Linked DNA regions of Lonchura striata. The protein of the gene in region 1 purifies or fractionates together with the protein of each later gene. This does not show direct contact. Links are inferred from orthologs where the notes say so. Each region holds a gene or a part of one and is shown on either strand. Other genes may lie near its edges.

Region 1 (7,447 bases):
GCCGCCGGTGCCGGTGTCACTGGCACTATCCCAGCGGGTCCCGCCGCCGGTGCCGGTGTCACCGGCCGGGTCCCGCCGCCGGTGCCGCGGCCGGCGCTGCCGGGGCGGGCCGCGGCCGCGCGGTTGCCATGGCGACGCCCCGCCCGCGGTGACGCGCGCGGTGACGCCGGTGGCGGCGGAGGGGGCGGCGCGGCCCCGGGGGCGCCGCGCGGAGCCCGAGCCGGAGCCGCCGCCGCCGCCCCCCGAGCCCAGCATGGTGATGGCCGAGCCGCGGCGGCCCCCGGCGCTGCTGCCCCGCGGGCTCGGGCCCGTCCGCGTCGGCTTCTACGACATCGAGGGCACGCTGGGCAAGGGCAACTTCGCGGTGGTGAAGCTGGCGCGGCACCGCATCACCCGCAGCGAGGTGGGCACGGCGCGGGGGGCGCGGCGGGGGCTGCGCGGGGCCGGCGCCGCTCCGCTCCGCTCCCTTCCGCGCCGCTTTTGTCCCTTCCGGCACCTCCCGCGGAGCCCCGGCCGCTGCCCCGGGGGGGTTCCCCCGCTCGCATCCTCCCGGGAAGGGCGGAACGCCCCCGGGGCCGCGGGGGGATGCCCGAGGATGTCACCCGCGGGATGTCACACCCCCCGACCTCCCCCTCCCGCCCCCGCTAAGGATGCCACCCGAAAGATGACACCCCCAGGATGTCACCCCCAGGGTGGTGGCATCAGCCCCGGGGTGGTGGCATCGCTGCCGGGATGGCACCGCGAGGATGCTCCGGTGCTGCTCCAGCAGCACTTTCTGCTCCCTGGGAAGGGTCAAACCTTGTGCTGTGCCTGCCGCCGTGCCCCGGGTATTTTCGGGTTTCCTGACCTGGGCAATGCTGGGTTATCTGTTTCAGCAGTGTGTGTGTGTGTGTGTGTGTGTGCTGAATTCTTCACGGCATCCTCCAAGTTCACCAAATCCAACCATTTTTAGCCTCTTTTGTTCAACCGCCCCCGTGTATTACCCGGTGATTATTATTAATACCTGGCGCTTTACCTAAAACAAAAATGATTGTCGGTCTGCCTGGGTAAAAATGTAGTCGTGTTCACTTTAAAAAAAAAAAAAAAAGAAAAAAGAAAAAGGAGGTATTTGATGAGAGTAATGGCTCTGAAGGATCAGCTTCCTCTTCTGCCTTGTTTTAGGTAGTTTTAGTTGCTACACCTAGAGGTGAGCTTTTTGTAAGGCTCTCTTCTGGTGGCTTTCATTGTTGACTGAAGAAGAGGTTCCTGGCTGCTCTGTCCCTGGCCAAAGTCACTCAAACGCTGTCCCAAGGCCTGCAGGTATTCACCACCGTGGGCTCGGAGGGGAAAATCCTAAAATCCTAAAATCATCCCTTCAGGAATGGCAGCATGCCCTGAAAGCTGCAGCCCAGCTGAGGACAGCAAACCCCGGGTGCTAACAGGGCTGAGCTCTGCGTGGCAGGGACTGGCAGAAACTTCTCCTTTTGCCTCATTTCTCAAGTTCATCCTAAACTCGGTTCTTCCTGAGCCCTTCCTCGCTCCTGCTGAAGAGCCAAGCAGCGCCAGCCTTCCCCTTCCCAAGTTTGGTGCCATGGGCCAGAATTGCAAATGCTCCACTTGAAGATACTCGCTTGTCATTGCTCTGCAGCCCTCATTTCTTTTTGGCAGGCTTTGTGGTGGAGATGAAAACTTTAATCTTGGTTTTTATTGTCCTTTTAGAAAGCCTGTTTGTTTAGCATTGTTCGAAATAACAAAGGTTGCAGAAAGCACAGAGCTTAAAAGCTCCCCGATTCCTGGATGCTTCTTTCATCTGTGTCCTAAGGAACTGCTGAATTCTCTTAGTCTTCAAATATTTTTTAACCAGCTTTTCTGTCCAGCCTGCAGCCTTTTTATCTTCTGGGGGATTTTTACAGCAAATTTGCCCGTGTTGGAGGACTTTTTGTCAAGGTCTTTGATTTTTTGAGTCAGCTCTGACTTCTGCAGGGAGAGATGCAGGAGTGTTTTTCTGGAACTGAATTGCTGAGTTGGTTGCTGGAAGTATTTACACAATCTTTGAGGAAGGGGAACCCTGTTAAGATCACTTCTGGTGATGTCAGAGGAAATAAATTCCAGCCAAATACTCTTTGGAATAAGCACTTCCAGCTTGGAGCAGCTCACCTGATTGTTGGACCCCTGAGCACACAGAGTGGAAATCCTGCTTGTTAATGACTCCAGACTGAAGGGTTTTCATATTTCAAACTTCTTCTAAACTGTTGCTTAAGTTCCAGTGGAAGAATATTCAGTTTTTAGGTTCTGGTGCACCCTCAGGTCTGTGCTACAGGAGGATGCTGTGATGCTGCTGAGACTTGCTCAAAAAACCTGTTTTAAAAGGACTCCTTGTCAAAGTTTCTCCTGAATCTCCTGATTTCAACCCTTTACATTCAGAACCTGTTTGTTGTTGGGCTTTTCCAGCGCTGGCATTTTGAAATTGTGTTTGATATGATTTTGACCTTTGAAATATTTGCCTTTTTATTTTTTAATGCAACTCTAGCCAATAACCATCCAATTAAAAAAGATGGGCTCTAATTACCTTGAATGCAGCACTTATGGATTGTGTAAAATCCATCCTTTTTATGGAAAGACTGCAGGTGAGGAGATAAAATTGTTGCCATAAATTGTTAGCAGAGGTGGGAATGAAATGAAAACACGAAGCAGGAGAGCAGCACAGGGTGTGTGCAAACGAAATCAGAAATCAAAATTTGAATTCATGCAAGTTCTGAACAACCGCACAGAAGCGTGAAAGTTGGGAAAAATGGGGGGATTAATAAATTTATCAGGTGATAAAGATGTCAGGAATAAATAAATTAAATAAGGATATGCAGGAATAGAGGTGCTGCCTGACCCTTTTTACTGCCAGTCCACCCAGGGGGGCTGAACCCGACCTTTGCTTGTCTTTTTTGGGGTTTTTGGTGCCATTTGAGTGGAGGGCACGTGGCTTTTTTGCTGCCACGCTCCTTTCTTGATGCTGCTGCCCAGAAATCCTGTGATCCCAGGGCAGCTCCTGCTAATGAGGCGTGGAAATGAGCCGAGATTTTCCTGGGGAGGACGGAGAGGAGGGAAGGGGAATAATTGGTGGCGTCAAAGTTGGAGGAGATGGAGATTTGCTTCCACTGAAATGGGATGGGAGTGGAATAAGGGAAAGGTTTGGAATGTAGGGAATAGGGGAAAGGTTTGGAGTAGGTGAAGGTGCTGCTTGGAAAAAGCAGGAATTTGGGAACACACCCCTAAAAGCCTTAATTAACCCCCCCTAAGGATTAATCCCCTGCAGAGGAACTCTGCTCGCTGCTCCCTAGGGGAAAACAAAACCTGGCTCTCCCTGTGCCTCCCAGATGTGCTTCCACCTGGCTGCTGTTACAGCGAATTTCTATTTTTCTTTGAGAAAAAAAAAAAAAAAAAAAAAAAAAAAAAAAAGAAAAAAGAAAAATGACCCTGCAGCCCCTGATTTGATCTGTGGCAGCAGTTCGGGTGAGCTCAGGTATTTGCAAAGTGAGTAACTCCAGCAGAGTCAGCAGCTCCCTGCGCTGCGCAACAAAACACGGAGTTTTTCCAGACTGCAGGAAGTTGTGGTTGTTAGTTTTAATGCATTTTATCTATTTTAAGAATGCACTGGGTTAACAAATCCGAATTTCTGTAACCTGCAGGGACAAAGCTCTGTTTGAATGTGAACTTGTAGCGGGAGGTTGTGTTGTGGTTTTGGTTTTTTTTGCTTTTTTGCCTTTGTTTTCCCTTTCAAGAATTAAAGGAACGAAACAAAAACAATGAAAACTGACATTTGGAGTAGCTGAGGAGCAGCAGCAGCAGAACTTTCATCTTTTCTTGACAAGCATTTCATCCTCCCTCCTTGGCAGTTGCAATTCCCAGATGTCAGGGCAGGATTGAGCAAACTCCAATTCCCTGGGCCTCCAGTGGAAGAGGGAAGGAAATAAGTGCAGTTCCTTGTATTTTAAAATGGTTTTTGTATTTTAAAAACCACAAAAGCTGCAAAAATATCTTGGAATGTAACTCCTTAAGCAGCAAAATCTGGTGACAGGCAGAGATCAGGGATTTTTTGGCTTTCCTTCTCAGGTGAAAGATGTGCTGACATTATATATTGAAATTTGGGGTTTTTTTGTTGTTTATTTCGAGCTGTTGCCAGTAGTTTTTGGCAAGCTGCATGTTTAGGAACAAAACACACTTTTCAGATAGGAAACTGCTCCGTGGCTTGAAGGAGCTTCTCCACCTCTAAGAATTACATCCCTTTTCCTGTCATCAAGAGACAGCTGAGCTCATGGACAAAAAGGAGCTGCTGAATTCCCTGTTCCTGCTCACATCCTTGGGAAGATTTTGCTGGATTTTAAGTATTTTCAAGTGGTTCTTCTGTAAAATCTTCCCTGCTCCTGGCAAGATGAAGATGCAGAGCGAGCTGAGGTATTAAATCTGCATTTGAGTGGAGGAGCTGCTGCTCTCCTGTGGTATATATATATATATATTTTATGGACATATTTCATGCACACTGGAAGTTGTGCATTTTCCTGGGAGTTGGGGAAAGACTGGGGACTTTTAAAGAGGGAAAACCAGAGTGAGCTGAAGTCAATAAATAGTTAATTGTGAACTCAGGAGGGCCCATAATCAGTGTTGGAGCAGATAATGAGGTTCACCTCCCATGGATTTCCTGTGCAGCAGCTCTCCCATGTTCAATAGTTTGTATATATGGTTTGTATATAATAATTCTGCTATAATTGGAATTATTAGTGGGACTTGCACTGTTTGCTCCTGCTTCAGCATTAATAAAGTGACATTCAGGGTGAGCAAGCACCATTTGTATATTCAACACTCTTTAACATTTTTACCCTTTGCAGGGGTTGTATTTTCACTTTCTTCTTGGTTTCAATTTTAAATGTCTTCTGTTGGAGCTTTTTAGTTCCCCTCAGCATCTCGAGTGATCTTCCCTTTTCATTTATTGGCTAAAAAACAAGGTCAGCAGGGCCAGGATGTGTTTTGTGAATTAATTGAGATGTGTTTGCAAGGTTTGACTGGTAAATTCATCTGCAGAGTTTTTATCTCTGAAGGGATGAACTGCAGATACCCTTTCATAATAACATACGAATTAATTAAATATGCCACAGCTGCAAGTGCCTGGAGCCCCTAGGTTTGGACTGTTTGTGTGGAGCCAACACAAGAATTTTAAGTTTTTCATATAAAATATCCTTTTGTGGGACTCTGATTTGTCACCTTGACTCCTGAAATGGGCACCACGGAGATTTTTGGGGAGATGTTGCTCACTGCAAATTCCTGATTGAAGAACACCTGGAGCACTGACCTCCCTCACCTGTCCTGTGCCTTCCATTCTATGGAAAACCTGCTTTTTCTCATAGAAAAACAACTTTTACTCCTAGAAAACCTACTTTTACTCACGAAAAACCTGCTTTTACTCAAGGAAAATCTGCTTTTTCTCATTGAAAACCTACTTTTACTCACGAAAAACCTGCTTTTACTCAAGGAAAACCTGCTTTTACTCATAGAAAACCTACTTTTAACTCATGGAAAACCTGCTTTTTCTCATAGAAAACCTACTTTTACTCATGGAAAACCTGTTTAGTCATGGAGATCCTACTTTTACTCATGGAAAACTTGCTTTTACTCATGAAAAACCTGCTTTTACTCATTGAAAACGTACTTTTACTCACGGAAAACCTGCTTTTTCTCATAGAAAACCTAATTTTTCTCATGGAAAACCTGCTTTTTCTCATAGAAAAACTACTTTTACTCATGGAAAACCTATTTTTACTCATGGAAAACCTACTTTTACTCATGAGAAACCTGCTTTTTCTCATAGAAAACCTGATTTTTCTCATGGAAAACCTGCTTTTTCTCATAGAAAAACAACTTATACTCATAGAAAACCTACTTTTGCTCATGGAAAACCTGCTTTTCCTCACATGCTGGTGTGGGTGGGAGCCCTGCAGCCCCTCCGAGGGACCCCAGCCACTTTCAGTGCTGCCCTGCTCTATTTTCCACTCAGGGATTTGCAGCCTCCAGGTACCCGGGGCTGCATTATTCCCTTTTCAATGAGGGTCAGCTCACCTTGGGGGAGTTTTTAAACCTCATTTTTCCCTCTTGCTCTGCAGGTGGCAATAAAAATCATCGACAAATCTCAGCTGGATGCTGTGAACCTGGAGAAGATCTACAGGGAGGTGCAGATAATGAAGATGCTCGACCACCCACACATCATAAAACTCTACCAGGTAGGCTTAGAGGGGCTTTTCCCCTTTTTTCCCCCTTTTTTCCTCCTTTTTTCCCCCTTCTTTCCCCCTTTTTCCCCCCCTTTTTTCCCCTTTTTCTCCCTTTTTCCCCTTTTTTCCTCCTTTTTTCCCCCTTTTTTCCCCCTTTTTTCCCCTTTTCCCCCTTTTTTCCCCTTTTTCCCCTTTTTCCCCTTTTCCCCCCTTTTTTCCCCCCTTTCCCCCCCTCTTCCCCCCCTTTTTCCCCCACTTTTTCCCCGCTTTTTTTCTCCCTTTTCCCCCTTTTTTCCCCCTTTTTTCCCCCTTTTTTCCCCCTTTTTTCCCCCTTTCCCCCCGCTTTTTTCCCCCTTTTCCCCCCCCTTTTTTCCCCCCCTTTTCCCCCCCCACCTTTTTCCCTGCTTTTTTTTCCCCCCTTTTATTTCCCCCTTTTTATTTCCCCCCTTTTATTTCCCCTTTTTTTCTCCCCCCTTTTTTCCACCCTTTTCTTCCCCCTTTTTCCCCCTCTTAGTTCAGCTAAACAAAAATGAATATCCCAGTTAAGACCAGTTCAACCTTAAATTAATTCTATGCACAAGAAGCTGGCCTTTAAAATATTTTAAAAACAAAAGGGTTTCAATTTAAAAGATAAAACTGGTTTAAAATATCGATGTAGCAGGTAGAGATGGAGCTCAAGGAGTTAAATTTGCAATTGCCTCGATAATATCTCCCCTCAGTTCCTTTCTGAATGAATGACACCACAGAAAAGTGGCAGGGGAGAGAGTGAGAATATTGAAATTATGACTGAAAATCAGCAGGGAGGGTGGTGCTCACTCCTCTGCTTAAAAATGCATTTGATAAATGAATTTATTTTAAAAATAGCCTTCAAATTGTCTACCTGCTTTGCTTTTATTTGTGAGCAGCCTCTTGGGACTTTCAGGCCAGTTAAGAAATAAAATGCAAAATCAAATTCACAAAGCTCTTGCCCACGGACGAGTTCAGCTGATGCTGAAACGTTTCTCTGAGGTTATTGAAATAAACTCAAAATACATTGGAATTTCTCTGAGGTTTTTGAAATCAACCCAATAAAAATACTTGGGAATTGTTGTCCTGAAATCTGAAATGGCTTTTTGAAGTGGAGGATTGTGATAATTCCACGTGTGAGGCAGAACTTCCCCAGCTTTAGGAGAGATCCATAAAAATAAAGATCCATAAAAATAAAAATCCATAAAAAT
Region 2 (7,992 bases), on another chromosome or scaffold:
ATTATATATTTTTATTGGTTGCTGATCATGTGATACACTTTGATTTTTAGGTTGTTCTAACTTCCACAGCTCCTGGTCTAGGCTGCTGTGAACCGACTGCTCTTTATGTACTTTTCTGACAAATATCACAGCAAATAGATGCAGAAATGCTGTTTTTTGAGTCCTTGTTCCTGTAAGTTCCTCCCACTTCCCAGAGGTCATCTTCAGTCTCAGCTGAAGGAGTTTTTGTATAGAGTAAGAATTAGTCATTAAAGCATGATGGGAGTAGATAAATGCCCATTAAAGCTTTGTGCTGTTGGAGGCTGTGTATAAATTTAACACCATACAGTTACAATCTCCCCAGAGCACCTCAACAAATGCTCAAGCTCCAGAAAAATCCAGGTGTGTGCTCACAAGCTTTGAATCAGGGCTATGGAACACACACTGCCTAATTTGAACCAATCATTCATAGCGTGAACCTCTGAACTACCAAGCAAGTGAACACCCAGGCAAAGGTTGTGGTTCCCAAGATGTCTCACTAATTGCTATGGCTGTAATTTAATGTTATTTATTTATTACGCTCCACTATTTTCTGTAGCTGTTGGTTCACAACAAAAAACTGAAGTGTTTGAGTTACAATCCATCCTCCTAGCACCATGATATTCAATATTTTCTAAGAGAAATTTTATTGTAATTATAAGCTTTCTACTAAGGCTTCATTAATTTCTCTTACAGAGCTAATTGCAGGTCTCTTTGCCATATTTAATTTTTTTTAACAACAAAAGTTCTTGAACCAAGGCTTATTCTGCTATGAGTACAAATTCTGCAGTAATTATACAAAAGACAATGGATGGATTGGACTAGATCTGCAAATTTTCCTGCTAAACAGTTGCAGGACAATTCTGCTTACGTTGAAAAGAGTATGTTTAAAGAATTAATTTAATTTATTAATTAAATTCAGAATTTAAAGAATTCTGAAAAGAGAGGAATGCCAGCTTTCTTGCTGAATTTGGTATAAAGTAAACATGGCCACAAATTTGTAGAATTGAGTGAATTTGCTCTTGAGCTATGGGAAATGTGGACTGGGATGCTTGGGACCAGGGAGTTTGTTTTCGTTGTGATTGTTTCCAAACTTGCAGTGTTTTTGGGTTGCTCTCAAAACAACCCAAGCAAAACACTTGGTTACAGAGATTTCCAAACCTGGGTAAGTTGCAATTCTTTAGAACATCCCATATATGCTGAATGTTCTTTCAAATGTTATTGTTATTTCCAAGATTGATTTATTTGCCTGTGCAATTTTTTTTCTATCATGGATGCAGAGACAAATCAGAATTCCAAAATAACTTGTAATTTGGGCCAGCTGTGGGTTTCTGGTGGCAGCCTGTCTTTTTGTATTCATTTGTGGTATTTAGTTCCTACAGCTCTGTTTCATGGTGGACTTGACAAGCAATTCAATGGTCTTTTCATTTATAAAAGCATCCTCTTAGGTGTTCAGAGATGGAAATGTAGAAATCAGTGTATGGGAGGGTTTTGGAGGCTTGTTCCAAGTCACATTTCAAGTTTGTGGTAGCGCTGGGTTTGCAGGATGAGCTTATGAATCTCCAAGTGAAATCTGGATTAGCAAGATCTACCCAGCCCAAGAAGAATATGTTTGCACAAACATCTTTTAAGGGAAACTGATGACTTTCACAAGATCTTAAATAGATTGTACTGAATTAATTATCCCAGTCCTGTAGTTAACTACAGATGAGACAGTAACTGGGACCCAGCAAGCTAAAAAGGAGCCTCCATCCCTCCCAAGCCAGCAGGAGCTGAGCCAAGCTGGGCTCGGCTGAAAGCCTTTCTTTGTGGATCTTGCTGGCTGTCAGTGTGAAAGGTGGATGGAGGCTAAAAATGGCTCAGGAGCATGGCCGGTGTATGCAGGGAATAGCAATGAGAACAGAGTGAAATCAGAGACCGAGCCCTGGACGTTGTGGAAAGCATCCAAGGGGGTGGAAAATGTGCAAGCAAACAGGTTCTGTGTGCCTGCTGCACGGGCAAATGGCAGGAGGGAGCAAAGGGAAGAGAGGGGGGAAAACACCAAAACCAAAGCACAAGCGAAAGGGAGATGATCTCAGAAATTCAAAGAGAAGGAAATCAGAAGCCTGAAAATAATCTTTCCAGAAAAGATGAAATATCTCAGAATGAGAAGTCCTGGAATAAAGTACAGTTTGCATTTTTTGCTTGCTTTAAATTCTTCCCTGAAGGATTACAGACATGCAAGATGCACAACCTGAGGGATTATCAGGGAAATGTTCTTCACCCTGTAGGGAATGGGCACGGCCCAAGGCCGCCAGAGCTCCAGGAGCGTTTGAACAGCACTCCCAGGGATGCAGAGTGGGATTTTGTGGTATCTCTGCCGGGCCAGCAGCTGGATCGATGATCCTGGTGGATGCTTCCCAACCAGCTCAGGATATTCGGCTTCATGAAGGGCGAGCCTGCGGGAGAGGGGTCAAGGAAGGAAGCTGTTCCTGCAGGGGAGTCCGGGCGGCGGTGGTGGCGGACACCGCAGCACGGAGGGGCTGGGAGCGGGCGATGGCGGCGGCCCCTCCATGAGGGCGGGCAGGGGCCGCGCTGAGGGGCGGCAGTCCCCCCGTGGAGGCGGCCGATCGCTCCAGCCTGAGGGGCGGTAACACCTCCATGAGAGCGGGCAGGGGCCGCGCTGAGGGGCGGCAGTCCCCCCGTGGAGGCGGCCGATCGCTCCAGCCTGAGGGGCGGTAACACCTCCATGAGGGCGGGCGGGGGCTGAGCCGAGCGAGGGTCGTTAGCCCCGCCATGAGGGACACAGCCTCACCATGGGGGTGACTGACGCCGCGCTGAAGGGCGAGTGGAACCGGGCTGAGGGCGGCCGATCGCTGCCGAGCTGAAGCAGCGGCACCCCCGCCATGAGGGCTAACAGGAGCCAGGCACGGACATGGCGGCACCGCCCGCCCTCCTGAGGGCGGCTCGCTCCCGCCCCGCGCTGACGTCACCCCCAGCTCTGCCGGCGCCATCTTGGACGCTCATCGCCGGGGGGGCCGGAGCGGGGCCGCCCCAGCCCCGCCGCGGCCGCCGCCGCCTCCTCCTCCTCCTCCTCCTCCTCCTCCTCCATCCGCCGCCATCGCCGCCCGCCGCCGCCGCCCGCCCCGCGCCGCCCGCCCCGCCCGCGCCGCCCGCTCCGCCCGACCCGCCGCGGCCGCTATCGCCAGCACAACATGGCAGGTAAGGGCAGCCTGCCCCCCTGCCCCGGCGTGGCTCGGGGGACTCTCCCCGCTGCCTCCCGGGCCGCCTCTCCTATTCCGACTCGCTTGCGCCTTGCTGGTTGTGGGGTGGCTTTTTTTTTTTTTTTTTTTTTTTTTTTTTTTAGCCTCTCGTGTGGGAATTCGTGCTTTGCTCCCACCCACCCCTCCTTCCCTCCGTTCCCCGGGAAAAGAAAAAAAAAAAAAAAAACATGGAAGAAGCAAGGTGGAGCGGGAAGTGGTGTGTTTTGGAGTTGAGCTTGCAGGCAGGGTGGGTCTGCTGCCTTTTCGTAGAATCATGGAGTGATTTGGGTGGGAAGGGACCTTAAAACCGGTCCAGTTCCACACCCTGGCATGGGCAGGGGCACCTTCTGCTATCCCAGGTTGCTCTGAGCCTCATCCAGCCTGGCCTTAGACAATTCCAGGGATCCAGGGACAGCCACAGCTGCTCTGGGTAACCTGTGCCAGGGCCTCCCCACCCTCAGAGGGAAGAATTACTTCGCAATATCCCAGCTCAACCTACTCTTTCAGTTTGAACCCATTCCCCCTTGTCCTGTCACCACATGCTCTGGTAAAGAGTTTCCCCCTTGAGGCTTTAGGGTCGGTGCTTGTAGTTATTTCTCTGCCGTGTACAGAGAGGTTCCAGGTGCAGGCGGTGTCCAGATTGCAGTCGCACCCTTCTGTAGGGAGCAGCCTCTGAGCATCTGTAAATGCCACTGAAATTTGGCACAGGGTGTGATTAAACAGCACAGGTCTCGCCGTGTTTTCTTTCCCATTCCTTCCTCTGCTTACTCCCCATTTCACATCCCCAAGTGCTGTTGGTAGGCTTGGGAATGTGTGTGCAGAAAGGATCTCTTCCCTCTTACTTTTCCTTGCATTTTCTTCATTTGGAAATGTATTCATCCCCCTCCTCTGCACGTGAATTGTCTTTTCAGTGCTTTGCATGTGGAGGAGCAAAGCATGGGAGGCTTTGTGAGGCATGTGCTTTGCCTTTCCCCCCTACACCATATGCACATGCTCCACCCTCCTCTTGCCGTTTTAGTCGTGGGGGGGGGAAAGTGCCAACTTGGTTCAAGTAAATTTTATGGAAAAGAGCTCGAAGAAGCAGGAGCAGTGATTCTCTCCGAGCTGTTCCCTTTAAGTGCTGCTATGGTGCCAGCCGCTAAATGACAAACGAAGAAGTTGAAGAGAAGAAAATGGGTTGTAGGATTTTGGGGGAATGATGGGAGGAGGGAAAGCATTTTGCCATCTCCTGCATAGATGGGTTCTGTTGCTTGCTTTCACCTCCTCAGGTTGTGCATCTTGGATGTCTGTAATCCTTCAAGGAAGAATTTAAAGCAAGCAAAAAATGCAAACTGTACTTTATTCCAGGACTTCTCATTCTGAGATATTTCATCTTTTCTGGAAAGATTATTTTCAGGCCTCTGATTTCCTTCTCTCTGAGTTTTTTTGCTCCCCTTAACTTGGGAAGAGTCTCCTCCTGTATTCTTTGTTATCTCCAAAGCCCTACCAGAGCTCGGGATTAATGTGTAAATGCCATCTGTTGCTCAGCCGGTTTGAGTTGTGTGGAGGAAAAGTTCCATTTTGACAGTGGCTTTTGGGAAAAAAAAAAAAAAAAAAAAACCAACAAAAAAACCAACCAACCGAGGCAAGCCCATTTCTGGCTCTTCCTGTATGTCCTCAGCCCTGCAGTGATTTGCTCAGAATGAAATGCAAAAGAAATGGGTGGTGATTTTTGGTGTGTGTTTTTGTGGCACGGTTCAAATGAATCACTGCCTTCAGCCGAGGCAGTAATGTTCCTGAAGTTTTCTCTCCGATCCGTTTTCTATGGTAGTAGAATTTGTCCCCCTCCGATTGCTTGTTTGCTTTTCTGCTCGGATTTGCTGCTTTTTTTTTTAGGCTGATAATTGCTTTCATTACTTCTGCGAAGAGACTCTAAAATTGTGGTAAAATTCTTTTTCTTTAGCCTTGAGTGCTTAGGGTCGGTGCAGTAGGTTTGTGAAAGGAGGAAATGAATTGTGTGCTTGGTTTGTATTGGACAGGAGATTGAAATTTTTTAAAAAAGCACAGCTCTGATAGTTGATATTTAAGCTGTTTGTGTGTGTGTGTGTTTAGGGGGGTTCTGACTCCTCGAGTAGGAAAAAGTTTTGTGTGAAACACAGCAGTTCCTGCACTTGAATTTTAAATTCGTAGTTGATGGTGCTTAGTCCAGCAAGCTTTGAGTGAGTGAAGCTTTTACACTGGTTGTGCTTCCCTGTTTTTGACAAACAGTGCATTGAAGGCTGACAAAAACAATATCCAAAGGAAAAAGGTGGGGAGGGTGGTGTGTGATTGTGCCTCAGCACTGCTGAGGAAGTGGGCGTGCACAGGCTCTGAAATGTGCAATCTGGAGCCATTGTGTGCTTGTGCTGCTGCTCTTGGGGGGGCTCGTTTTTATTGAATTGTTTTCAATTTTCAGGAGCTGGAGGAGGAAATGACATTCAGTGGTGTTTTTCTCAGGTGAAAGGCGCTGTAGATGATGATGTAGCAGAAGGTAAGAGTAATACTTTTTACTGTTTTCTAACTTTTTAACCATTCCTTAGGTGGGGAGATGTGAATGCAGTCAGTAAAATATCCCAGTGCTGCTAAGTGCTCGTTGAGCAAAGCAAATGGACATTTCATATGTATTCCCATATCCAGATTCAGGTTTAAACTGTGATTTGAAAGTACCATTCAGCATTCTTGTAAAAAAGTTCAGGCTTCCTAAGTTATTTTTGCTGGAATTGTTTTCTAACATTGCTAAGATTTTTCTGATTTTTTGGCTTTTGACTTGTGTTTTTTCTTAATCTTCAAAATGGGGAATGTGTTACTTAAATTCCACAAGGAGGTGTTGTTAGAATTAATATTTGTACTCTTTGAAGATCTAAGTACTGCATGAAGGAATTGTCCCAACATTTCTAGCTCCTATTAACAAGAGGCAGAAGAAATCTGCGTATTTGTGCATGCCTACTTAGTATATAAGGAGCAGGTTTGGGTTTGAAATAATGCTGAAAATTGTCTGAAACTTTTCCAAGCTGCCAGTGACAAGTGTCATGTTACACTAAGATGGCTGCCTCTGAATTTCACTGCAAAAACTACTGTTTGGGCTTTTTTCCCTTGGATTTTGGATCATTGGAGGAATGATGCTTTTTTCTGTGCTGGAGAGCAGAATCTCTTCTGTGATCATTCCCGAGGAGAGGTCCCCTGACTTCTGAATTTCTTTGGCCATAAAGTCCTGTTTGCAACAAAGCAGCTTTTAAGATCATGAGTTAAAAGTTTTCTTTTGCAAGTAGTTGGCCTTGTCACTTATGTAATTCCTGTTTTTTTTTATTTTTCTTGCATATCTTGAATGCTCTGACATAGAAGTGAGATTAATGTTATATTTAGAAAAGCAGTAACTACAGTTTCCATTATTTCCCTGCTTGACATGTGGTTCAGATTAGCTTCCAAAGGCCAAAAGAAAAGATTGGTATAAACATAACTGAGTTGTTTTTATTTATTAGCTGCAGCATGTGGCAAACGATGCACTGAGGCTTCTGTTGTTTGCAAGTTGAAATATGTTTTTTGGAAATGAGAAAGCTGTACAGTTTCAAGTTTATTTTTAAATTCTTCAGGAAGTAGATTTTAAAGCTTGAACTCAAAGTGCTGTTAAATGTGGTATATTTTTTTTCCCTGACAGATTTAAAATTTTGTAACCTTTGTTTTATTTATGTATCATACTAAATCCTTAATAAATACAAGTATTGAAGAAGTTGTGGTTGTGGTGAAGTTGTGGTGCTTGCAAATAATTCTTCATTAAAATAGACGTTGGTATGCTTCTAGTAGTAATGAACTTATATATAGGTATAGAAAAGTAGTCTTTACAGGGATTTGGAAATGTAGAAGTGAGGAAATAGGAAGGAAGGACAGGCTGAGCTGTTTTAAGTGTTGCACTTGGTGTTATGAAAGGTGCCTTGCCAGCCTTGTGCCTCCTGCCAGGCTGGGAGCTGCGCTGAGCATTGCTGGAATCCCGGGGTGGACTTCTGGGAAGCCTTTGAGGGAATTAACTGGCTTCAGTTTCAGCAAGCCAGGCAGCTTGGTTCCTGCAGCATTGTAAGAATCTCCATTTTTTGGGTTATAGACAGTGTAGCCTTCTGATTCTGTGACCCAAAGAGTGAAAAGAAATTTTCTTTCATTGTCAGCTATACCTGACTTAGAATGAGTCTTGAGGTCCAAAGTGTATTATACTGTAAGATGGTGTGAAACTGAACTGCCTAGGGAGAGATCCCAAGTATTATTGATGGTGTGCTTGGCTGTAATTAGTGTGTTGAACTGAATTTCTCTCCTGTTCCCATGTATTTGGCTCCCACAGTCCATGCTGGAAGTTGGTGAAAGCAGTTGTTTATATTGATTTGTTGTACATCATAATGCCTCGCTGTAATTCTGTTGGAAGCGTTATGTATCAGGATGGTTGCATTTGTCCTTTTCCTAGTGATATTTCTGGCTTTAAGGTTCATATCAGTGACCTGGAGCCTTGTGTGGCTCTTGCACCAACTGGAGCAGCAGCCTCTGGTCTTTTGGAATACCCAGTGACAAACTGGCAGTGGGTGCAAGTGCAGTCTGAGAACCTTTTTAATTCCCTGCCTTTCCTTCTGCTTTCTTGGGCCAGGCCAACTGTGAAAGCTCAAGGAAATCTTACTGTCTCAAGCTTTAATGACTCTTTAACCACTCTGATCTGCCAGAGAGCAGCTCTGGACTC
Region 3 (7,836 bases), on another chromosome or scaffold:
AACACCATGTTAATTTTGAAGTTGTGCACACAAAGAGATACCTTTTGCACACTTACCTCGACCAGAACAACTTTTGTTGACCAGATCCAGTCTGCCATCTTTTACTTAATTTTAAAGGGATTGAGAATGTCTAAAGACAACAGCCAACATCCTAGAATTTTCTCAGATGTCTGTCTTTCCTTGTAACAAAGTTATCTGCATGTTATTGGACAGTTATTCTACACTAACCATATAACACTTATCTAGTTAAACTACTGGTACTTAAGAACACTCACCACAAAATGTACATCCTAAAGTGGTTGACACACACATCTCTCCCAATTGAAAAAACAATGGACATATGTAAAACATGAATGCAGAGCTTCAATTTAGGTAAATTTCCTACATGAAAATTACCATTTGAAACAAGGAGATGAGGTAATCCAAATCAGAAATTAACTTTTCCTAGCCCCTTGCTTTCCAAAACACAAACACACCTTTGTAAAAATGCTCATACCACTAGAAAAAGAAAAACATTTGAGTGTTGGAGGAATGGCTTTATGTAAATAATTTCTTCCTCAATTGTTTTCCCATTGGTTCATAAGAGCTTTTTGAAATCCAGATTATTAGATACTTAAAACAATGTGAAATTTTAACTAAGGATTTGAAGTTTCAGGTTTGTGCTCTCTTATGCAATTTCCAAGTATGAGTTTGAAGTATTAGAGAAGAAATTAATTAATCTTTCCTAAAAAGGGGAGACAAAATACATGCACAGCAGAAATAGTGGGTGAGACGCTAGCTCTTTTTTATTAGTTAGGCCTAATGCCATTTCAATCTAGTGAGTAAAGTATTCGCAGCATCTTTCACACAAATGAAAACAATTCATAGTAACAAAGAAGAATTCAGGATTAGGATATTGACTAACAAATGTAAAAGGTATCAGGCCCCACCTGACTAATTTTGCTCTTCATTTCATGTATTTAGCAAAAATTAGTTTGCTACTGTACTTCAGAGGCTAGGCTCCAACCTCACCCCAGCCATCGAGGACCTGGGATCTTGCTCTCCTCTCTTAAGAAATGACAGAAGGTTTCCCTGGGGTTTTGGCTTTGTAACAAGATAAACATAAAGACCATGAAAATCTGCCACATAAGCAAAGCTCCATCACACAGAATTAAGCCTTTCCTTAGAAAAAACCCCATCAGGAGTATCCTGCTGAACACAGGCACACACAAACCCACAGCTCAAGGGCAGGGCTCCTAGGCTGAGCACGCCTCCTCCGACGGAGGATCCCGAAACACCGGGGGATGGCGGACACACCAGGCCGGACACGGCGCAGGAGCTGCACGGGCCAAGATCTGCGCCTGCCTCCGCCGGCGGCGCGCCCCGGGAGCCGGCGGCGCGCCCCGGGAGCCGGCGGCGCGCCCCGGGAGCCGGCGGCGCGCCCCGGGAGCCGGCGGCGCGCCCCGGGAGCCGGCGGCGCGCCCCGGGAGCCGGCGGCGCGCCCCGGGAGCCGGCGGCGCGCCCCGGGAGCCGGCGGCGCGCCCGGCCCCGTTACACGGCTCCGGGCAGCCCTGCCTGCGGGCTCAGCCCCGGCCGCAGCCATCCTCCCCCGCCCGTGCGGCGCCCCCGCCGACCTGCACCGTGTAAATCCAGCCGACGTCCATGTGGCTGTGGGCCACCACGAAGGCGCGCAGCTCGCCGCCGGCCCGCGGCAGGAGGGCGAGCAGCGGGAGCAGCGGGAGCAGCGGGATGCGCGGGGCAGCCATGGCCGCTGCGGCGCTCCCGCCGCACTTCCGCGTCCCGCGGCACCGCCTCCCCGCCCGGAATCAAATAAATAAATAAAAGAAGGGGCAGGAGTCTCCTGGGGAGCGGGAGGCTCCGAGGCCCGAGGGGTGACTCCGCCCGCGCCCCGAGCGGCGCTGCGGGTGCGCGGCGGGCGGAAAGCGCCGCCCCTGTGCGGGAATTCCGGACCCAGTTCGGGTATCTGGAATTTGGGTAACGCTGGGCTGCTCGGGGAGAAGCTGAGTTCTGCATCTTGGACATCTATAAATATTTCTTGTTTTCCTTTGAATTGAAAGGAAATTTTGTTTCGTGGTATGGTACTTCATTACGGCTTATTGTCTGCATCTCTGAAGTTTTGGAATTGAAGAAGGGTTAAATTTTATGTGGTTGACCTTCTGATTCCTGCTAGGAACAGGTGGACCCTGTGCTGAGGACTGGAAAGGTAAACACTTCTGTTTGAACTGCATAAAGTCCTAGTGAAAAAGGAAAAAATCCAAACCCAAACAAAAAATATTGTCGCATAGTGTAGTCCAGTCTCCTCAGAAGTTTTTTTGTAAGCAGATGCACCACTTTCTGCCTATTAAATCATTGTGACATAGAAAGCCAAAACACATAAAACTATATTTCTTTAAACTTGGATTCTTTAAAAAACATACACTATAGTATAGATCAACTACTTTCCTTAAGTTTTAGTTTGACTAAATCACATACTTTTAACAACAATGCAATTCTGAAATGACACAAAATGTCATATCAAAGTCCTCGCTCATTTCCAACAGTGCAAAAGTATAGAACATCACATGGAGAAGGGTAACTGCTCCCACCTTCAAGTTTGGTATGGATTTAGCATTACGCATTACATCCCAAACCTAGTTAAACCAGTCATCACTCTGTGATTGAAGGAAACAATCACAAATAGCTTAGTAGTGTCCATCTGCCAGACTAGCTGGCTCCTAGTGCAAATTAAACCACCTCAATACTCAAGACACCTGTAAAAAAGGATCACATAATTTGTATTGATCTCGTCATTCTAGAAAGAAAAAAACATGTGCTGCTTTACATACCAAACTTGGTGGGTTTTTTTTTAACATATAAAGTTTTAAATAATTGTTGTAAATAATTGAAGATGGAAAGGAAAACGCTTTATGTAAATCAGTAGTAATGAGTTGAACGCAATAAAATGGCCACATTCCATAAAACTTAAATCTAATATGAATATATTCTCCCAGAACAGGGCCTTTGTTTGCTATTTCAAAGAGTTTTAGAGTTTTCTGTGAAAATAAGAGGCTAACATTAGAATGCTAATATCAGTTTTATTTTTGATAATAATACATTGTCATGAAGAATAATCAAGGTCTATAGGTAACTTTTAGGGGAAGTTAGTACCACTATAAGCAGCTGGATGAAGCTTTACTTTAATACAGCTCTATGATACATTTTTCCCCCTCAAATCATCAGCATAAACATGTTAATTCCGAGAATGCTAGTGCACATCCAGCAAACATATGGCTTGAAGATATATATACACACACTGTCTAAACACACTGGTGTTTTTACCTCAGAAGGCAATACTATCTTTGTAATTTAGGTGAAGTTCCCAGGAAAGCTTAAATATCAGTGTTTTGCTTTGTTGCTAAAAGTACCTGGGAATATTTGCTGAATGTTACTCCAATTTAAAATCTATTTCCTTCAGAAACTGTAATTGTCCTCCTTATCCTTTCACAACGGCCACACTGCACCTCTGTCTTGGATAGAGTGGAGAAGAATGTGAATCAAACTGCCCGCAGTTCATACACCTGAAGGTATCAGGAGGGGTTCTACTTGCTGCAAGAAGGGATGAATGGTATGTCAGGTGGAAAGGTATGTCAGGAAACAATTCTTCCCTGCCACTTACATACTGCTTCACAAACAGCAAAAAGATAGATGGAGGAGCCAGTGCAGTCATGCCATGATAGCCGCCTATGTCGATACTTTATCCTCTTGTTGGCTCCTAATCTCATAGTATGGCTTCATTATAGTCTTCCTCTCTTCTTTCTTAAGCTTTTCTCATTAGCCTATATGAAGTGTGGCTGCTCTTTTTGACACAAACTGTGCCATACGTGGGCCTCTGACACTGTTACCTTGATAAGACAGAAGCCGTGGGCAGGATGCTGCCAACTACAAGCTAAGAGTCACAATTGTCTTAAATTAGGTATCAAGAAAGTCACCTGGTGAACAGAGCAATTAATGTGTACCTTTATATTTCTCTCCTGACATGTTTTTGGGGTGGAAGTCTCTAAGAATAAAGGCGTTTATTAACATATATTTGCTCTAGCTGACTGTTTCAGTGTTTTATAATTTTCCATTTCCCAAACCATTTCCTACTGAAGGCAAAGGTCACTGCACAGAGCCCTTTAGACTTACTTGGTAGCAGGTTTGCTTTCTTTACCAACGTCTCAGGGATGCTGTAAAGACAGTTTGTGTATTCACAGGGGCTCGTGGACCAGAGGAAAACCACTCTCCAGCCTTGCAGTACATATATAACCCAACTGTTCATGTGGCATTTGTGGCCTTGATCAGTGATAGCCCAAGTGGCCTAGGTAAGAGAACTGAGGGCAATGTTATGGGGCGAACGTAGCTGTGGCGAGGCTGAGCGGCACTAGGGCCACCGGCAGTGGGTGCCACTGGCAGTGGGTGCCACTGGCAGTGGGTGCCACTGGCAGTGGGTGCCTGCTGTGTGGTGTCCCCCGCCAGGGATGCGCGTCCAGGCTTGGGGGCAGCCGGGATGCGCGCCCATGCTCGCCAGGCTGCCCGCACCGCAGCCACGGGCGGCACCTGACGGGGAGCGCACACGGAACGGGACGGGCAGCAGGGAGGGCTGTCCTGGCCGGGGCAAGGCCGGGCTGCGGCACCGCACCCCGCCGAAGCCGCCGCGGCCGGGCTCGGCTCGCTCCGCGGCCCCGCGGCTCTCCCGCGCCTCGGGGCCGGCGCTGCCGGGCGCGGCCGGCCCGGGCGAGGCTGCGCCGCCTCCGCCGGGAGCTCCGGGCGGAGCCTTGCCTCCTCCCCGGCCTCCCTCCCCCGGCTCCCCGAGCACCCCGAGGCAGCGGAGGCTGCCTGCGCCCGCTCCGCCGGGAGGAGGAGGAGGCGCCCCGAGCCGCGGGCGCTGGGAGCAAAGCAAAGAACAGTTCAGAGCAGCGGGCGCATTCCGGAGGGCGACACCCATGTCCCACAAACAGGGTATCTGGAAACGCGCTCCTTCCCCCGGTACCCGCTGTCCCCTCTCATCCTCCGCTCCCTGCTCAGCCCTCTCCATCTCTCCTCCCCGCTCTCTTTTCTCCCCCTCGCCGCCACTTTCCCTGTCCCTTCCTCAGCCCTGTGCCCCGCTGGCTCTGTGCCCGACTGACTGTGCCTTTCCTCCTGCCCAGCCGGCGGCTCCCCCGGCCAGAGCGCGGCTGACTGGTGCCTCTGCCAGCTCAATGGAGCGGCCGAGCTCGAGGTCTCCGAAGGTGAGTGCGGGATGCTGAGCGGGCGCGTCCCCTGCCCGCTGGCCCGGCCGGCCGCGGGGGGAAGCGGGGCTCGCTGCTGGCAGCCGCCCCAGCGGTGTGCCCGAGGGCAGGTGTGGAGGTGGGCCGGCAAAGGGGTATCTGCCGGTGCTTTGCATGTTCCAGGCCTTGTAAAGTGCCTTGGCTCGTTTTGTTTTGCGGGGGCGGGCGGGGGGGAAGTTTTTTTTACGTGTAGCAGCTTAGATGGCATGAGACCTTCTGACCTTGGTGTCAGTGGGTGTTGGTGCAAAGTGGACTGAAAAGTTTTCTGGCCTTTTTTCACTTTTAACTTTGAAGAAAGAAGTCACCTGGAAAGTTTTATTTATTAATGTTCTGTGATCAGAAGAGGAACTGTCTTCGGGTGTCAGGACAGGAAAGCCTCTCATACCAACCATACCACACTGTGTATGATTTTGAACAAGCAGAATATCTGAATTTAGGTGTGAACCTGTGTCCTCCAGGATGCCAGATGTGTAGTGTGCTGTGCCCATGAGCATCTTCCAGTGTCTGTTGTCAATGAGTTAAGTGGAACTAAGACCTCATCTTGATGTTTTTGGTCTGCTGGGGTTATGGATTTCTAAGAAGAGTGTATTTACCCTTTGTAAACGTTTAAAATGCATCAGAAGTTGAGTTAGACTGAAAAACTTTCCAATACGGAGGAAGGTGGAACCCTGTAGTAGATTGGCTTCAGATTCAACATTAAGGAAAGGCTGACAACAGGGAAACACTGGAATATAGGAATTAGGTAGATAATGAAATCCCATTCATTTGAGATATTTAATGTTTGTTTCACAAACATACATTGAAGAGATAAAGCCTTGGGGCAGGCAGAAAGATTACTTGTTTGGTGTCTCTTCAGCTATTATCCGTGATCCTTTATGGTTTGAAGTTTTGTGTCTTGTATTTTGCTGTTTGGAGAAATTATTTAAACCCCAGGGTACTAATAATAAGCTGTAGCTTGACCAAGGTTTTGGATTAAGTTTTTCCTTCCTATTATTCCATGGTGAGCGGTGTCCCTATATTTCAAGGTGCACTTAATAGTGTGTGTAATTACACACAATTGCATACTAAAGCATTTATCAAAAGATGTTGTGATTTATTTTTGCCTATGTGATTTTTTTTTTGGTGAAACTGCATACCAAACCAGATGTGATGACGATAGATGGGGGTGGAAATTATATCCGTGTGAGGGAGTGTAATGAGTGAGTGACAGCATTTCTTAGGCATCACAGAATGCTGAAAATGAGCTTTAGTTTGGCATTTACTTTCATTTAAAGATTTGAATGAGTAGAATATGCTTCCTAACCTCATTTGTCTGGGTAAATACCAGTGTTTCAGCACTGCTTTGAGATGATAATGTTTTTTCTCAACAGGTGTTTTATTCCTTTGATTTATTGGGTCATCTCTTTTCACAGGGCATATTCTTTTAAATTACTTTGCTAACCCTAACTTCAGTTCTCTTTAATATTGCCAATTTTTGGATTCCAAATTTTATTCCCCAACTTAAATAGGAATCTTAAATGTTTTCTCTTAACTTACCATGGAGATAGATGAAATTCAGAGACCAGGAAACAAACTGAAGCAATGTCATTTGATCACAAAACCTGTAGAATCAAAGTCATCTGCAGGTAGTAAACCCTGTTTATGTTAATATATTGTATAAAAATATGACATATATATATTATATTGTATATAAATATATATTGTGTATAAATTATATATACAATATATATTGTATATAAATATAAGATATTGCATATAAATATAATATACTGTATATAAATATGACATTTTTCCAGAGTACATGCTGGGTATTAATGCCACTTATATCTAAGTGCACACAGAGTACTATAATCAGCAGACTTTGCAGAAGTGAAAAATAGCTCAAACAGAAGTCCATGGTGGCAGATGACGTGACCTCTTTTGCTTGACACTGTTTTTGGATGAAGTCCAAACCTTTTCCTTTGCTGAAGTATGCCTGTAAAGTAAATTACACAGAGCTAGACAGAATCTTTTGTTTAAAATTGATTGTTCCTATGACTTCCATCACAGACTTTTTTTCTCTCTTTATCCCAGTTCTTTTTTACTTTTCAGAAAGGCCACAACTTTTAATTGCAACTGCATTGGTTAGCTATATTTTCCACCCAACTGATGGACAAAAGGACTAGTTTATCTATATTAAATATTATAGTGTGATTTATATATCTAGATAGATATCTGTGTATATAAACATTTGCATATTAATAAGTTCAGTTAGTGTTCTGGGCATCTCTTGCTGCTTTTGTTTTTGAATGCTTGCATTGACCTTGCAGTACTCTAACTCTGTCAGTTAGACTTCAGAGCTGTGTTCTGCAACATTTCTGTCTTAGCCTAGGAAAGAAAATTTTTTTTTTCCAAAAATAGATGTTAGATGAAAAACATTCATTTACATAACAGAAAAGAAAAATTGCATATTTCAAATGCAAGGAAAATAGAGCATAGTAAGTGAAATATCACAATCAAAGCCAAGATAATCATGTTTGATTTAGTCTTGCTGCCTTGAAACAAAATCCTA

Evidence for each region.
Region 2: the proteins of SIK2 (region 1) and PPP2R2A purify together in Homo sapiens (affinity purification with mass spectrometry; 3 studies listed by BioGRID and IntAct, with this or other methods). This does not show direct contact. The link is inferred for Lonchura striata from reciprocal best matches to the Homo sapiens genes SIK2 and PPP2R2A.
Region 3: the proteins of SIK2 (region 1) and PPP2R2C purify together in Homo sapiens (affinity purification with mass spectrometry; 3 studies listed by BioGRID and IntAct, counting the BioPlex papers as one, with this or other methods). This does not show direct contact. The link is inferred for Lonchura striata from reciprocal best matches to the Homo sapiens genes SIK2 and PPP2R2C.

Annotation. Positions count from the first base shown.
Region 1 is NC_134625.1:9,393,208-9,400,654, forward strand, and holds the start of SIK2 (serine/threonine-protein kinase SIK2), read left to right. Parts: upstream 1-4,436; 5' UTR 4,437-5,598; coding exon 5,599-6,036; intron 6,037-6,125; coding exon 6,126-6,242; intron 6,243-7,447. UniProt on the Homo sapiens protein: Serine/threonine-protein kinase that plays a role in many biological processes such as fatty acid oxidation, autophagy, immune response or glucose metabolism.
Region 2 is NC_134634.1:2,457,902-2,465,893, reverse strand, and holds the start of PPP2R2A (serine/threonine-protein phosphatase 2A 55 kDa regulatory subunit B alpha isoform), read left to right. Parts: upstream 1-4,957; coding exon 4,958-5,066; intron 5,067-5,694; coding exon 5,695-5,769; intron 5,770-7,992. UniProt on the Homo sapiens protein: Substrate-recognition subunit of protein phosphatase 2A (PP2A) that plays a key role in cell cycle by controlling mitosis entry and exit. Involved in chromosome clustering during late mitosis by mediating dephosphorylation of MKI67.
Region 3 is NC_134606.1:12,003,849-12,011,684, forward strand, and holds the start of PPP2R2C (protein phosphatase 2, regulatory subunit B, gamma), read left to right. Parts: upstream 1-4,830; 5' UTR 4,831-4,961; coding exon 4,962-5,004; intron 5,005-5,165; coding exon 5,166-5,246; intron 5,247-7,836. Other genes in the region: MAN2B2 (epididymis-specific alpha-mannosidase), read right to left, coding at 1,614-1,745. UniProt on the Homo sapiens protein: The B regulatory subunit might modulate substrate selectivity and catalytic activity, and might also direct the localization of the catalytic enzyme to a particular subcellular compartment.